3 linked regions of the Mus musculus genome follow. The protein of the gene in region 3 purifies or fractionates together with the protein of the main gene of each other region. This does not show direct contact. Links are inferred from orthologs where the notes say so. Each region holds a gene or a part of one and is shown on either strand. Other genes may lie near its edges.

Evidence for each region. The genes of interacting proteins can lie anywhere in the genome.
Region 1: the proteins of Mtnr1a (region 3) and Gnai2 purify together in Homo sapiens (tandem affinity purification; 3 studies listed by BioGRID and IntAct, with this or other methods). This does not show direct contact. The link is inferred for Mus musculus from reciprocal best matches to the Homo sapiens genes MTNR1A and GNAI2.
Region 2: the proteins of Mtnr1a (region 3) and Gnai3 purify together in Homo sapiens (tandem affinity purification; 3 studies listed by BioGRID and IntAct, with this or other methods). This does not show direct contact. The link is inferred for Mus musculus from reciprocal best matches to the Homo sapiens genes MTNR1A and GNAI3.

What each region holds. Positions count from the first base shown.
Region 1 is NC_000075.6:107,618,344-107,621,843, reverse strand, and holds part of Gnai2 (guanine nucleotide-binding protein G(i) subunit alpha-2), read left to right. Parts: intron 1-1,381; coding exon 1,382-1,424; intron 1,425-1,655; coding exon 1,656-1,797; intron 1,798-1,986; coding exon 1,987-2,147; intron 2,148-3,500. UniProt on the Homo sapiens protein: Guanine nucleotide-binding proteins (G proteins) are involved as modulators or transducers in various transmembrane signaling systems.
Region 2 is NC_000069.6:108,108,153-108,111,652, forward strand, and holds part of Gnai3 (guanine nucleotide-binding protein G(i) subunit alpha), read right to left. Parts: intron 1,461-3,500; coding exon 1,270-1,460; 3' UTR 1,251-1,269; intron 1,165-1,250; 3' UTR 1-1,164. UniProt on the Homo sapiens protein: Heterotrimeric guanine nucleotide-binding proteins (G proteins) function as transducers downstream of G protein-coupled receptors (GPCRs) in numerous signaling cascades.
Region 3 is NC_000074.6:45,066,687-45,072,717, forward strand, and holds the start of Mtnr1a (melatonin receptor type 1A), read left to right. Parts: upstream 1-2,420; 5' UTR 2,421-2,523; coding exon 2,524-2,716; intron 2,717-6,031.

The sequences.
Region 1 (3,500 bases), on a different chromosome or scaffold from region 3:
AAACAAAACAAAACAAAAGAATTATAAGAATGAAAAAAATTGGCCATGTTGATGAACAGTTGGTAATTCCAGGCGGGAAGTTGAGAAATTTAAGGTCATCTTTGACTGCATTACAAATTTGAAGCCAACCTGGTCTACATGAAACCTTGGCACACAGTGGGTGCTTGTCACAACTTTGCCGTCATTATTATTGATGGTGTTTTTGTTAATACGTTAGCCCTATTATATGATCTGGATAGAAGGACAGAGTTCCCAAGTTCAACCCACTCATAGGTCAGTCCTGTGAACAGAACACAGGGCAGGGTTTCCCAGGAAAGAGGACAGGATGAATAGCAAGAAGCAGGCAGTACCTGGAAGGTACAGGAATGAAGCTGGTGAGGGGACAGGCAGAGGCTGGGATGGAGGCTGGGCTCATCTTGGCATTATGGTGTCATCTTAAATGCGGGCTGCATGATCCTGCTCCAAGAATGTTCGCTTCTGAACTTCAGTGCCTTCTGTAAAGTGAGATCAGAAAAGATTGGTTTAATGGAGTTGCTGTGGCAAACACAGAAGAGACCAACAAACCTCAGAACCAGTCACAGAGAAATGAGGACAGGGGTTCTGCCAACCTAGAGAGGCTTGAGTCAGTGTTTGTGTGTGTGTGTGTGTGTGTGTTTCTATTTTCCATCTGTTTAGGACAGAGCTGATCCAGAAAGCAGAGGGCTAGGTCTTGGGCCATGTCCAAAGGACAGGAATGTGACTCTGGTCCTTGTAGGTTACTTAGCAGCTAAATCTCAGAGTTTGGGAACAGGAGCATTTCCTGCCCTTTTGCAATATGCAGGGTACCTTCCAGCCAGCCCTGCCTTGCTCTTTTTTTTTTAAGATTTATTTATTATTATATGTAAATACACTGTAGCTGACTTCAGACACACCAGAAGAGGGCATCAGATCTCATTATGGGTGGTTGTGAGCCATCACGTGGTTGCTGGAATTTGAACTCAAGACCTTCGGAAGAGCAGTCAGTGCTCTTACCCGCCAAGCCATCTCGCCAGCCCCCCTGCCTTGCTCTTGCACAGGGTGGTAAGCCTGTGTTTGTGAGAGTAGAGAATGTGGACCTAAGACCTTGGCTAACTCCCTGAACTCATACAGGACAGAGGTGGGGGCATGGCGGGATCCCTGACAGACAGTGGACCTTAGGGAAGCAGAGGCCTGCATGGAGCCTGCCAAGGAGCAGAAGCTATAGGTTTCCTTAGTCACTGTGGCCCCTGTAAGCCACCGGCTGTCTCACTGTGCCACCGATGTGTAGAAGGTAGGAAGTACCTTCAGTGATAATGGCAAGGCTGTTTGCATATGGAGCCCACTGGGCTTGTCCTCTCCTCCTCATCTCTGCCCTCTGTTCCAGGTGCTGGAGAGTCAGGGAAGAGCACCATCGTCAAGCAGATGAAGTAAGTGGTGTGCAGAAGTCACCAAAGTTTGACCATCATCTTCCTCTGGGCCTGTCCCGTCTCCCCTGCTTGGTCTCCACCTGTCCCAGAGGGCCCCATTGCTACTTATATCAATATGACTCTGTAGGCCAGGGGCTGTTCCCCCTCTTTGGAGTAGTCCCCGGCAGTTCCCGGGTAGCTGTGGGATTTCTTGTGGCTGGTGGATCATAACTTATGACCTCTGTTTATCAGGATCATCCATGAAGATGGCTACTCAGAAGAGGAGTGCCGGCAGTACCGTGCCGTGGTCTACAGCAACACCATCCAGTCTATCATGGCCATCGTGAAGGCCATGGGCAACCTGCAGATCGACTTTGCTGATCCCCAGCGTGCGGTGCGTGCCCTTCCTCCACCCCTTCCTCTCTGCCTGGCTCCCAGAAGCCTTCAGGGCAAGTCTTGTCCTAGGGAGCCTGAGAGTACACCAGTCTGGGCCCTGTTCTAGAATATTCCCTGCTCTCTAATCATCGGGAGGGCGTTTGTTCCTTTACCTGTCTGTCTGTCTGACCTCCATTTCTGTGCTCAGGATGATGCCAGGCAGCTGTTCGCCCTGTCCTGTGCTGCAGAGGAACAAGGGATGCTTCCTGAAGACCTGTCCGGTGTCATCCGGAGGCTCTGGGCTGACCACGGTGTGCAAGCCTGCTTTGGCCGCTCACGAGAATACCAGCTCAATGACTCAGCCGCTTAGTGAGTACCGCAAGGGACTGGGCACGGCAGGCGCTCCCAGGGTAGAAGCTGATGACTGCCCACCGAGGCTTTGGGAGTGGAGTAGGTTGGATGGAAACTCTGGGATAGCATGCTGTCGGAAGGCCTGGAGAAACGACAGCCATGGTGGCTTTCAGGCTCCTTATCTGTCTTCACACATGATCGTTCTGAAGAACGTTTGCAGCCACCTGCTCCGTGCAGAGTGTCAGGGACACAGTGATGAGTGCAAAGAACAGGTCCTTAAGCAATGACAGCTGAAGGTGTCAGTAGGAAATCAAGAGTGGGAGGGGTTTGAGGCCGGGGCATGACATATGTTAAACTCCAGGCTGTCACTGAGGATACAGGAGTTCAGGCCTGTTGCTCAGAGCCCCACAGAGACGGAAGAGGCTGTCTTTGAGGTGACGGATGTGTGCACAAGCTGGAGCCTGGACTTTGCTTCTGACCTTTTCTGGATCTGAGCCAAGCCCAGGACTCAGCTAGAGAATCAGAGTGTCCCAGGAATTTCAGAGGCGCAGCAGGCCTGGATCCTTTAGGCCAGAACACAATTCTGAATTCCCCTGCAGTCCAGCAGTGTGTCTGTCAGGACTGGGCAGGGTGCTGAACTCCCTGTCCCTGCTTCTGCTTCTCTTAGCCAGCCAGCCTCCAGCCCAGCCCTGCCCCTCCAGGTCCCTATTGCCCATCAGATCTTGAGCCTGCTCAGCAAGGCTAGACCTCACAGGAGTTAGGTAGATCTGCCTAGTTAGGATTCCCAAGTCCTGCTTCAGTCACGTGACCAGGCTTCTTCTGTCCTCTCTAACTTCCCTTGTGTCATTCCTACCCTCGGGGAGTTTTGGGATCATAGCCAAATCTGCGGAGGCCTCCGGGCTTCAGCACTGCCCCACCCCGAAATCACGGGCTTAGCCACCAGCTGAATTACAGAGGCAGGGAGGGGGTGAGCCCTGTCAACTTACTAGTTGACAACCAAAACTACTTCGTTGTCCCCAGTACTCAAGGAGGGAAGGATGGCGCCATGTCCTGCCCCCTCTCCACTTCCTCCGCTTTCCTTTTTCTTTATTCTCCACCTTCTTCCTATTGCACGCCTGCCTCTGCTCTAGGAGTTGGGGTGGTCACCACAGGGCCTGCTCAGCCAGAGTGCTTTTTGCCTCCACAGGCTCATCTTCAGGAGGAGTATGGGGCGATACTCTAAGCTTTACCACAGGCTAGACCCCAGGAGAGCAGAGGCTCCTAGGGTGAGGCCACCTGCTGAGAAGATAGAAATTGGTGTGGAACTCACCTTGAGGTTTCAGGCTAGGGGCTCCGTCCACAGGGGATGGAGCCTGGTACGCAGGTCACAGC
Region 2 (3,500 bases), on a different chromosome or scaffold from region 3:
CAACCGTAGGCTCTTCACTCACCGTTTGTTTTAATACTGCTGCCAACTGTAACAGATTCAAATCTGTACACGACAAGGTGGAAAAAGTCCCCAAATGCAAGTTTTAGAAAAAGAATATAGTAAGGACTACTACTACAGTTAACATTGCTACAGTAAAAACGATGGCAAACAGGGATTTGGCACCACATTTACAAAGGAAAAGCATGCACTGTTAATACACTTTTAGATGTCTCCTAACAAAAAAGGCCACGAAGATGGAAAACAAGGGGCATCTTATTCAAAACCTCCCCATGACCGAGACAAACAGGCAAGATTCCATGTGGTCAACTTAGTAGACCTGTAGCAGCAAGCCACTGGTTCTCAATTTAGCATCTGCATCTCATTGACGGCTATCCTGCGTGTGTCCAAGAAGCAGTTTAACACACTACATCAGTATTCATCTAGTAATTTGGTAATCAGCACAAACAAGGTTAACCCCGACAAATACAACTTCCAACCGTAAGCGTAAAGCAATGAGAGCAGGAATCGTACTGTAGAACTCTCCAAGGTGAATGCTGTTTAGAAACCATTGTGGTACTTTAAACATGACAGTAACATAAATTTCATTCCGAAAAGCTCTATTAATATAGTCCCAATAACCAGGAAGAATTTTAATTATTGAAATATTACTCCCGACCATTCCAAGAGTTAAAAACAAACAGTTCCTACTAAGAGGAATAGTTTCAAGATGTCTGGTGACATTGTGTGCATAGTTAAGACTCAGTCCTCAGAAGTTTCTTTTGCAAACAAGGAAGAGTTTTTAAGTATTCTTCTCTTGATAAGAAAAACCTTAGAAATTAACTACTGGTCATTTGTCAAAAAGATGGGGGAAAGTGAGCTACATGTTTAAGTTCTGGAAGGCAGCACCTCAACTTCAATATGCCCTAAACATTAGATTACAGAGTCCAAGCGACGCCCTGACGATCCAGTCATACTTTACAGTTGTCCAATCCCAGGTCTGATTTGAACATCTCATGCCAATTAGACATTCCCTAATAGAGAAGACTGCTGGAGAGCGCTAGCTAAGATTCTGCGTGTTGCTGCCATTCCTTGGTCCTGTCATGCGTGCTGCTGACCCAAGAGACAGTAGATGACATCTGGTCTCAACACTCCTCCCTGTAATAGCTAAAAAAGAGAAGACATTGTTAATCAGAAAAACATTTACAAAGCTACCCCGCCCCCAGTGGTAACTAAACTGTCTCAAGTTTTACCTTTTACTATGCCATCCTCTCAATAAAGCCCACATTCCTTTAAGTTGTTTTTAATGATGACATCCGTAACAGCATCAAAAACAAACTGCACATTTTTGGTGTCTGTGGCACAGGTGAAGTGAGTGTAGACCTCCTTGGTATCTTTTCTTCGGTTCAGATCTTCAAACTGGCACTGAATGTAAGCAGCTGCCTCTTCGTATGTATTGGAACCTGAGGCAGACGACCAACATTGTCAAGTGTAACAGCTGCCTGCACCCAGCTAAGTTAGGCCATCAGCATTTACTTACGGAAAGCAACACCACACAACTGACTACAAACAGAATTCTGCCTCTATTTCTATTACCCTTAGGATTTTCTGCAGTCATTGGATTTTTCATAAGAAAGACTCACACGGACACTAAAACCAAACCATCATGCTCAAGGGATGAGGAAAACAAGTTTCACTTCCTCTGAGACCCTGACCTTGGAGTGACCCTGGACGAAGGGCTCCCAACAGGTAAAGCATTTATTTAAACATCATTCCAATCCTAGAGAGGCACCAGCAAAGGCAAACTAACAGATGGGGAACAAGTGGGACCCCAGTTATAGACTCTGACACCTCTCCTCACCCGGCACCGCCTTCAAACTCATGGCTTCCTACCTCGCCCTCCCAAGTGCTGGGATGCAGGCACGGTGCCCATCCACAGCCAGTAACACACTTTAAAGGATAAGTCTGTCTCAACAAGCAGCTGCTTTCTAAGGAGTAGGGGCACGAGGAGACCAACAGAAAGCCTTCTTTTTAATATATATAATTAACACTCAGTCGTCCACTTTCCACACGGTCTTAGAAACCGCCTGTAGCGTCAAGGACACTGTCAAAACAATGTACACTGTTTTCATAAACCAGAGCCTATTTTGGGTGAGATCAAGCATGGCAAGAAATATCAAGTAAGTACATAAAGAAGCCTGGGAGAAAGAAAGAACACATGAAATACAGAACTAAAGGAAGACTACTTTGTTAGGTGCCTAGAGCTCGCAACCCCCCTCCCATCTTGGTTTTTCAAGACAGGGTTTCTCTGTGTAGTCTTCACTCTCCACAAGGCTGGCATCTTATGGGAGTCAGTTCCCTCCTGTAATCCAAGTCCAGGAGCTGAACTCAGGTCATCAGGTTTGGAGGCACGCACCTTATCCGATGGGCCACCTCACTGTCCACTCCCCTTACTTTCTAAGAGATTCTGGTTCTTTTCTTTTGTATCCTTTATAAACCTTTATTTCTCTCCTGTTGGTAGCTAGTATTTGTCTCATTTTATCGTTTCTCGCCTCATTTTATAGTCATCTCTCTGGTAACTTCATTTATCTCCAATAAGTTAATTACTGCTGTTCTCAGGTTTATACATCTAAGCTAACCTTTCCCTAAGTCCCTAGTATAAGGATCACTACCAAACAGACACTTCTATCTGGTTATTCTACAGATACTTCTAAAACAACATTCCAAAATATAAATTCAGATCATAGCAAAGTATCCAACTGAGAGACTTGAGTGAAGACACCTTTGACTTTCTAATGTTTGCTGAACCTTTCACTGTATTCTCAAAAGAAAGCAGAGTCTCAGATAGTGAGAGCCCCCATCCACGGAAACAGCTCAGAGAGTCCCCTTCTCACTCTGGCCATCTGGTCACAGCTTTCATAATGGCACAGTTCTGCCATTGTTGTCTGTGATCCCTAATTTCAAATAGCCGACTGGCCCACAGCGTTTTACCTTCTTTAGCTATAACCAGAATCTTTCCCAGAGAAACTTGAATTGGAAGTCAAGCAAACCCAGTATGACCTCATTGTTTTAATGGAAGAGACACAGAAATGGTGGCAATGCCATCCTTCATCTTATAAACTGAATAGTAAAGGACATTAGTGGGGACAGAGAAGAATAGACATGGAGCCAAGGAAAGAGACAGAGATGAAGTGACCTCCTTTAGAGGTGCCTCCCTCGCACTGGCACTGACTTCACAGTCTGACTTTCACTCCTAGCCCCACCCATATCCTTGTCCTTGGCTTTTAAGATGCCATCCTGGCTCTCACTGAAAGGTTGTATCTGCATCCGAAGGCAGTCCTTACTGCCGTCCTCACTACACTGCTGCTAGACTGCTGTTCATACACCATGTGCCCAAGGCCACTTGTCACTAGCTCGACACAGGGCCAGCCTCTCCCTGCTAGTACGTTAAATTCCACAGCTGCCACATGCCCCTTCTCCATTTCTTACATGCAACTGTCTTC
Region 3 (6,031 bases):
TTTATTGGTCCGTGTTGGAAACACCGGGCTTTGGACTTATAACTGTTCCTCTCTGCTCCCCATCGGGACACAGAGGCATGTCTGTGTGGGATCTGGAGATAAGAACTCAGGACTTTCAAAAAGGGGCTGGGATGGGAGGAACTGGGACAAGTAAAGGGAACAAAAACCATAATCAGGATGTATTAGATGAGAAAAAAAATTGATTTTTAATGAAATGTGGGAAAGGAACTTAGGTCTCAAACTTAGCAAGTTGAGCCATTGGGCCGTCTTGTTAGCCCAGTTTTGGTTTTTTTAAAAATATACAATTTACAAGGACTTCAGAGAGAAAATGGAGGAAAAAGCTTTGTGTATTTACCCCCAAATTGAGCCTTTTTGATTTTGAGTAGTGGTACCAGGAACTAAACCCAGGGCTTTAGGTATGCTAAACATATACTATACACCAGTGACACCCTCTAATTCTCAATTTCCAGTTTTAATTATTTCTAATTATGAGCCCTAGTCATCTTGCCATTATTTTTACCCACACTCACTCAAAAATGTTACACTCGTTACATTGCATTACAATGCTTCATTGTTACATCATATATTCACATACATATATCATGTCATATATCAACAATATACATCATGTCATATATCATATATATCATATCATATATTGTATTGCTATACCATATATCATCTCCTGTTTTATATAGTTTATGTTATGTTTTTCTTATTATAGGTGTCAAACATTTCTGTGGCCAATACCGGTCTATTGAGAAACACAGTCACTTAGAAATGAGGTTTGGAGCTGTGGACTCAGGGGGACTCAAGTTCAAAACCTGTTTTCACTCATGACTGATTGCATACCTCTGCACGTTACTTCACTGGCCAGTGTTGCAGGGTTTCAGCCAACATATGGCCCTCACAGTGTCAAACCCTGTCAGATTAACATCGTGTAAGACTGCCCATTTGAAAAAGCTCTCCCAGGGCTGTGCAGAGAGCCCTAGGTCAGTTGATGACCTAAGCTCATGGGTCTTTTCTATGCTCACGATGATGGGGTTCGGTCCCACTCTCCCTCTCATGCTCACTTAGTGAGGGGGCCCTTCCTTACCTCAAGTTTAGAGACTCACTTACCCACATTCCCTTAAACATATCTTCCTGTCCATCACCGATTTCCCTCATTGCTAATTTAAAACATTAACCTTCTTAATTCTGTGCTTTATTCTCGGTTTAGATGAAATCTCGCACATCCCAGGTTTGTCCTGAACAGCGGAGGATGACCTTGAACCTCTGATCCTTTGCCTTCCCTCCTGGGTGCTGGGGTTACGTGACTGAGGTGCCACATCCAGTTTATACAGCACTAGAAATGGAGTCTAAGATTTTGCAAATGCTGCACAGGAGCCCTAACGACAGAGCCACACGCTCAGGCCCCTCAATTCTGCATTGCATTTCTTCTTGAAATTATTGATGAACACAACCATTTTACTTAATATGATTTGTTGAGACAGGATTTTATACAGCAACACTGATTGACCACACAGCTCAAGATGCCCCCAAACTGGTGTTGATTCTCCTGCCTCAGCCTCCAGAGCTACGACACATTGTTTAATTTTAATACAGATTTTAATATTGTCATGTCATGCTTTTCTGGTATTCATCTTCTTAAAATGTATTTTCTTCATTTTTCTTCACTCTTTCAAAGGGACTTTGGAAATGCTTAGGAATTGGACAGCCATAAAATATATGGAGAGCATGAAAATTTAAGTGTTCAATATGAGAACATCATATGTTTTGTGTAAGTCTCCTTCCCCATGTTGAAGAAAGTTTTGGGGTTTTGTTCCATTCTGTACAGAGCTGGCTAATGCACTTCCCAGAAATCTTACACTGTGGTTCTACGTCTGCTTCTATTATCTCAAGTTTCTGTTTTCACTGATAGTTTCAAAAGAACATATACACCTGTCATCTGCAAATATTTACATTTTGTTTCGTTTAATTGCCAGAAACACCCAGAACAGACATTAAATCGTGCTATGCCAGACGGAAAGGGTGTGATTTAATATCATTATTACTTTATTTTTACACATCATTGACTATTAAAGTTGATGAGTTAGATTCTATTTTCATCTTCATTTTCCGGATAAGACATCCAGGGCATCTAGTCCTGGTTAGGATTCAAGTTCGTGAATCGAGGCCTTCCAGGGTGCAAGTTTCCCTCCACTTGATGCCTCCACGTGTCTCACCGAGTCTCGCCACACGGGGGCGCAACGTGCACGCACTGTGGGACCTCCGAGTCCAAGTTGCTGGGCAGTGGACAGCAGGTGTCAGCAGGCGGCAGTGGCCAAGTGCAGAGAGGGTGTCCTACCACCGGGAGGGGCTGGAGTGGGCAGGACAGCCGCGAAGCAATCATAAGGATGCAAAGTAGACGCGGGAGGGCCATAAAAAGTGGCGGAGAGGGCTCGAGCAGAGCTGAGCAGTTGAGGGCTCCGGGGCGACAGGACAATGGCCCTGGCTGTGCTGCGGTGAGGCACCCAGGGGACCATGAAGGGCAATGTCAGCGAGCTGCTCAATGCCACTCAGCAGGCTCCAGGCGGCGGGGAGGGAGGGAGACCACGACCGTCCTGGCTGGCCTCTACACTGGCCTTCATCCTCATCTTTACCATCGTGGTGGACATTCTGGGCAACCTGCTGGTCATCCTGTCTGTGTACCGCAACAAGAAGCTCAGGAACTCAGGTAGGGGCTCCGGGCACCTTTCCCAGCGCTAGCCCCATTGCGGGACACTGAGAAAACTTCAGAAAGTCCGTTTCTGAGAAATGAGACTTTGGATAATTTTCTCTCCTTTCTCTTGACCCTGTCCCTCTATAAGATGCCTTGACAAAGATCATCCAGGAGTCTTCAGTTCTTAGAGATGTAAAACTCTGTTCCCTCCCACAGCATCTCTTTACTCATCTAGATCAACGAACTCATCATCAGTTGTTTGGATTTGCATAAAATCCATTTCCCCCAACTTCGCAAAAATAGGAGAAGATGCAGAAGCCGCCAAAAACAACAGAGCTACTGCTTGGCTTTTGTTATCAGGTGTGGTTTTCAGCTAACAGCACCAAATTGCAAGGTAGTCTGGGAAGATGCTAAGAATGCTGAGGAAGCACCTTTGTTCCTCAAGTCAAATCTGCATTTTAGAAGATGAAAACTGTAGCGAGAAATGCATTTGCATAGAATATAGGACTAGAGTTAATTCTGTGTTTGAGTTACAGTTGGGGTTCCCTGGAGCAATGAGCTGACCTAGTTACCCTGCGTAAGAGCGTAAGAGCGGGTTGGTCGGTTCTCCCTAAGCTTTTTTATGCCTTCAAACAGCGTCAAGGTTGCTTGGATTTCTGTTCCTGGTTTGGAAGTAAACTTTTGGTAGAAGGGTAGAGGGGAATCCATTTGCTTAAATAAATGGCCCCAAATGATATTTTTGTCCTAAACCAGGTAGCTGGTGAAAACTCAAATTCAGGCAGCATGTGGCTCACCTTTGGCCTAGCTTCTGCAACGCTTCGGGCTGTGCAAAGTACAAGAATTAGTTTGAAAATATCTGATAATGTGAATTCAGTTTGGCTTAGAAAACGGGATGACTTCCTTTCACGGATGATCGGCCTAAACTAGAATCCAGTCTTCAGAATTCAATAGCTTGGTGGTTGTTGTTTGTGGAGCATTGGCAAAGCCCTAGGCTTGGTCTCCACCACTGTAATAAATGAATAGTTGGGATAAGCGAATAGTTGGGGGAGCACACCCCTTCTGAGAGCTAGGAGTCTCCACAAGCTGCACTGGGACCCTGAGCACCCATACAGAAAGTCCTTGAGTGAGCCCAAGGGTCGGGCATCAGACTCATTCACTTTACAGAGAAGGGTGTAGTGAGGCTCAGTAGTGGGAGGCTCTAATTCTTGGGGTTCCTGCCTGGAGCTCACCTACCTTGCTCCATTGGTCTCTATAACCTTTACTTGAGAAGTCTGAATCCTATGAGACATTTCCTATAAAAGGTGTTCACGATTCTGGTGGCTTGGGAAAAGTACCCCAACTGTCCTACTATTTTGAACATTATTGTCTAAGCAACTTCTTGAGTCCATATACTGCATTCCTCTCACTGTACAGAAGACCCTTGGTGAGTTTTAATTTGCAAAGCTTTAGAGCATCATATTTATATAACTAGACTACTGGCTCAAACACACCATCATTGAGTTCAAACCATTTGAGGCTCTTTTTTTTTTTTTTTTTTTTTTTTAAGAATAAATAGTGATTTGGACCATAGCTAGAGCTAGCTGATTCAAGCATACTGTTAGATGCCTATTAAAAGTTTCAGAGGTGCCAAGTGCACACATTGAATCTCAGTGCTTGGGAATAGAAGGCAGCTGGGTCTCTATGAGTCTGAAGCCAGCCTGGTCTACAGATTGAGTTCCAGGCAAACTAAATAAATGTTTTAATGATTGCGCAATTTGTATATTTGTTCAATTTATCTTGTTGGTTTTAAAAACGGGAAGATGAAAAAAATATCAACCTGGACGGACGACTCGGTGACTGTCCTTACAGAGGTCCCAGGTTCAGTTCCCAGCATTCAGATGGCAGCTCACATCCATTGGTAACTCCAAGTCCCAGAGATCCTACAAACTCTCCTGACATCCACGGGTACCAGGCATGCGCGTGGTACACATACCCACATGGAGGCAAACACTCATACATATAAAAACAAAAACATCCTCTTTTTGAAAAGGGGAAAGTTGAGAAACAGAGAGGAAAAAGATAAGGTTAGCACATCTGAGTTCCAAAGCAGTTCTTTCCTTCGGAAGTCTGGTACCATGGCAGAATTATTTCTGCCCTCTTCCTTTTCTCAAGAGACTACATTTGCCTTTGATGTCTTCAGGAAGAAATCTCTGATATTTTATCACCGGTGGGGCCGGTCAATCATAACAGGCACTGCCTTCAAGCAACCAAGCAGATGTGAAAGGTTGACAGACTGTCTGCTCTGCTCCCGTGCAAATTTTGCTAACGAGAAATGGTGCATCTAAAGTGGGTATAAGATTCTCACTGTATACATACCAATCCAGGAAATCAGTTGTGATCCACCCTCACTTTCCACATCTGTCAGACAGGGATAACACCTACATCCTTGCCCCCCACAAAGCTTTGTCGTAATTGTTGCAAGTATCAAATGAAATGATGAAAACGAAAATATTTTGAAAAAGATGGAGAAAGTAATACTAAATAGGCATTTGAACATTATTATTGTTATTGTTATTATTATTATTATCTTTCTTTTGGCTTGCTAAAAAGCAGAGCTGCATTTTTCTCTATGTACATTACACTTAATTAAACCTTTTCCTAAAATAATATTCTGCCTGTTCAAAATTCAGTTATCTGTCTATTCAAGCTGTATAGTATATAAACAAAAGATGAATGTTAACAATATGTTAGACTCTTAGGTATAGCCTGTTGGGCTCTATAGAAAATTCAGAATTCTATAAAGCTTCCATACTAGGGACTCAGTGCCCATGATTGTGAGCATCAAGAAGGTTTGCTGCACATCAGGAGAGAGCACACTGTGGCAGACAACATCATGGATAAACTCAATCCAAGCACTCCTGGAAAACGGAGTGAATGTGTGTTTTTGTGGTGCTCGCTGCAGAAGCAGATAGGTGCTCTGCTCAGATCTGAAAACACTACAGAACAAGGGCCTGGTTGCTAATTATGACGTGTGTCCCTCTACGGAAGACCCCATGCTATCATTATTGGTGTTAAATTTGAATGTATAGCAGGGCAAGTAAAACATGTGTAATTGAAGGTAATGTTGCTCCGCCCCCAGAGTGACTCTCTAGCCACAGACATAGTTGACAGCACTCTGCACCCTCAATAAACCACCCATCTTACTCCAAGTTCCAAGCCCCCTTGGGAGTCAACAAGAATGAGACAGAGTAGGGAGTGAATTTCACGCCAGGGATAGGTTGAAAGCAAATAAGGTGAACTCTTCATATCTCCAGGAGTCCACATCCAGAGATCAACCAATTGAGGGTCAAA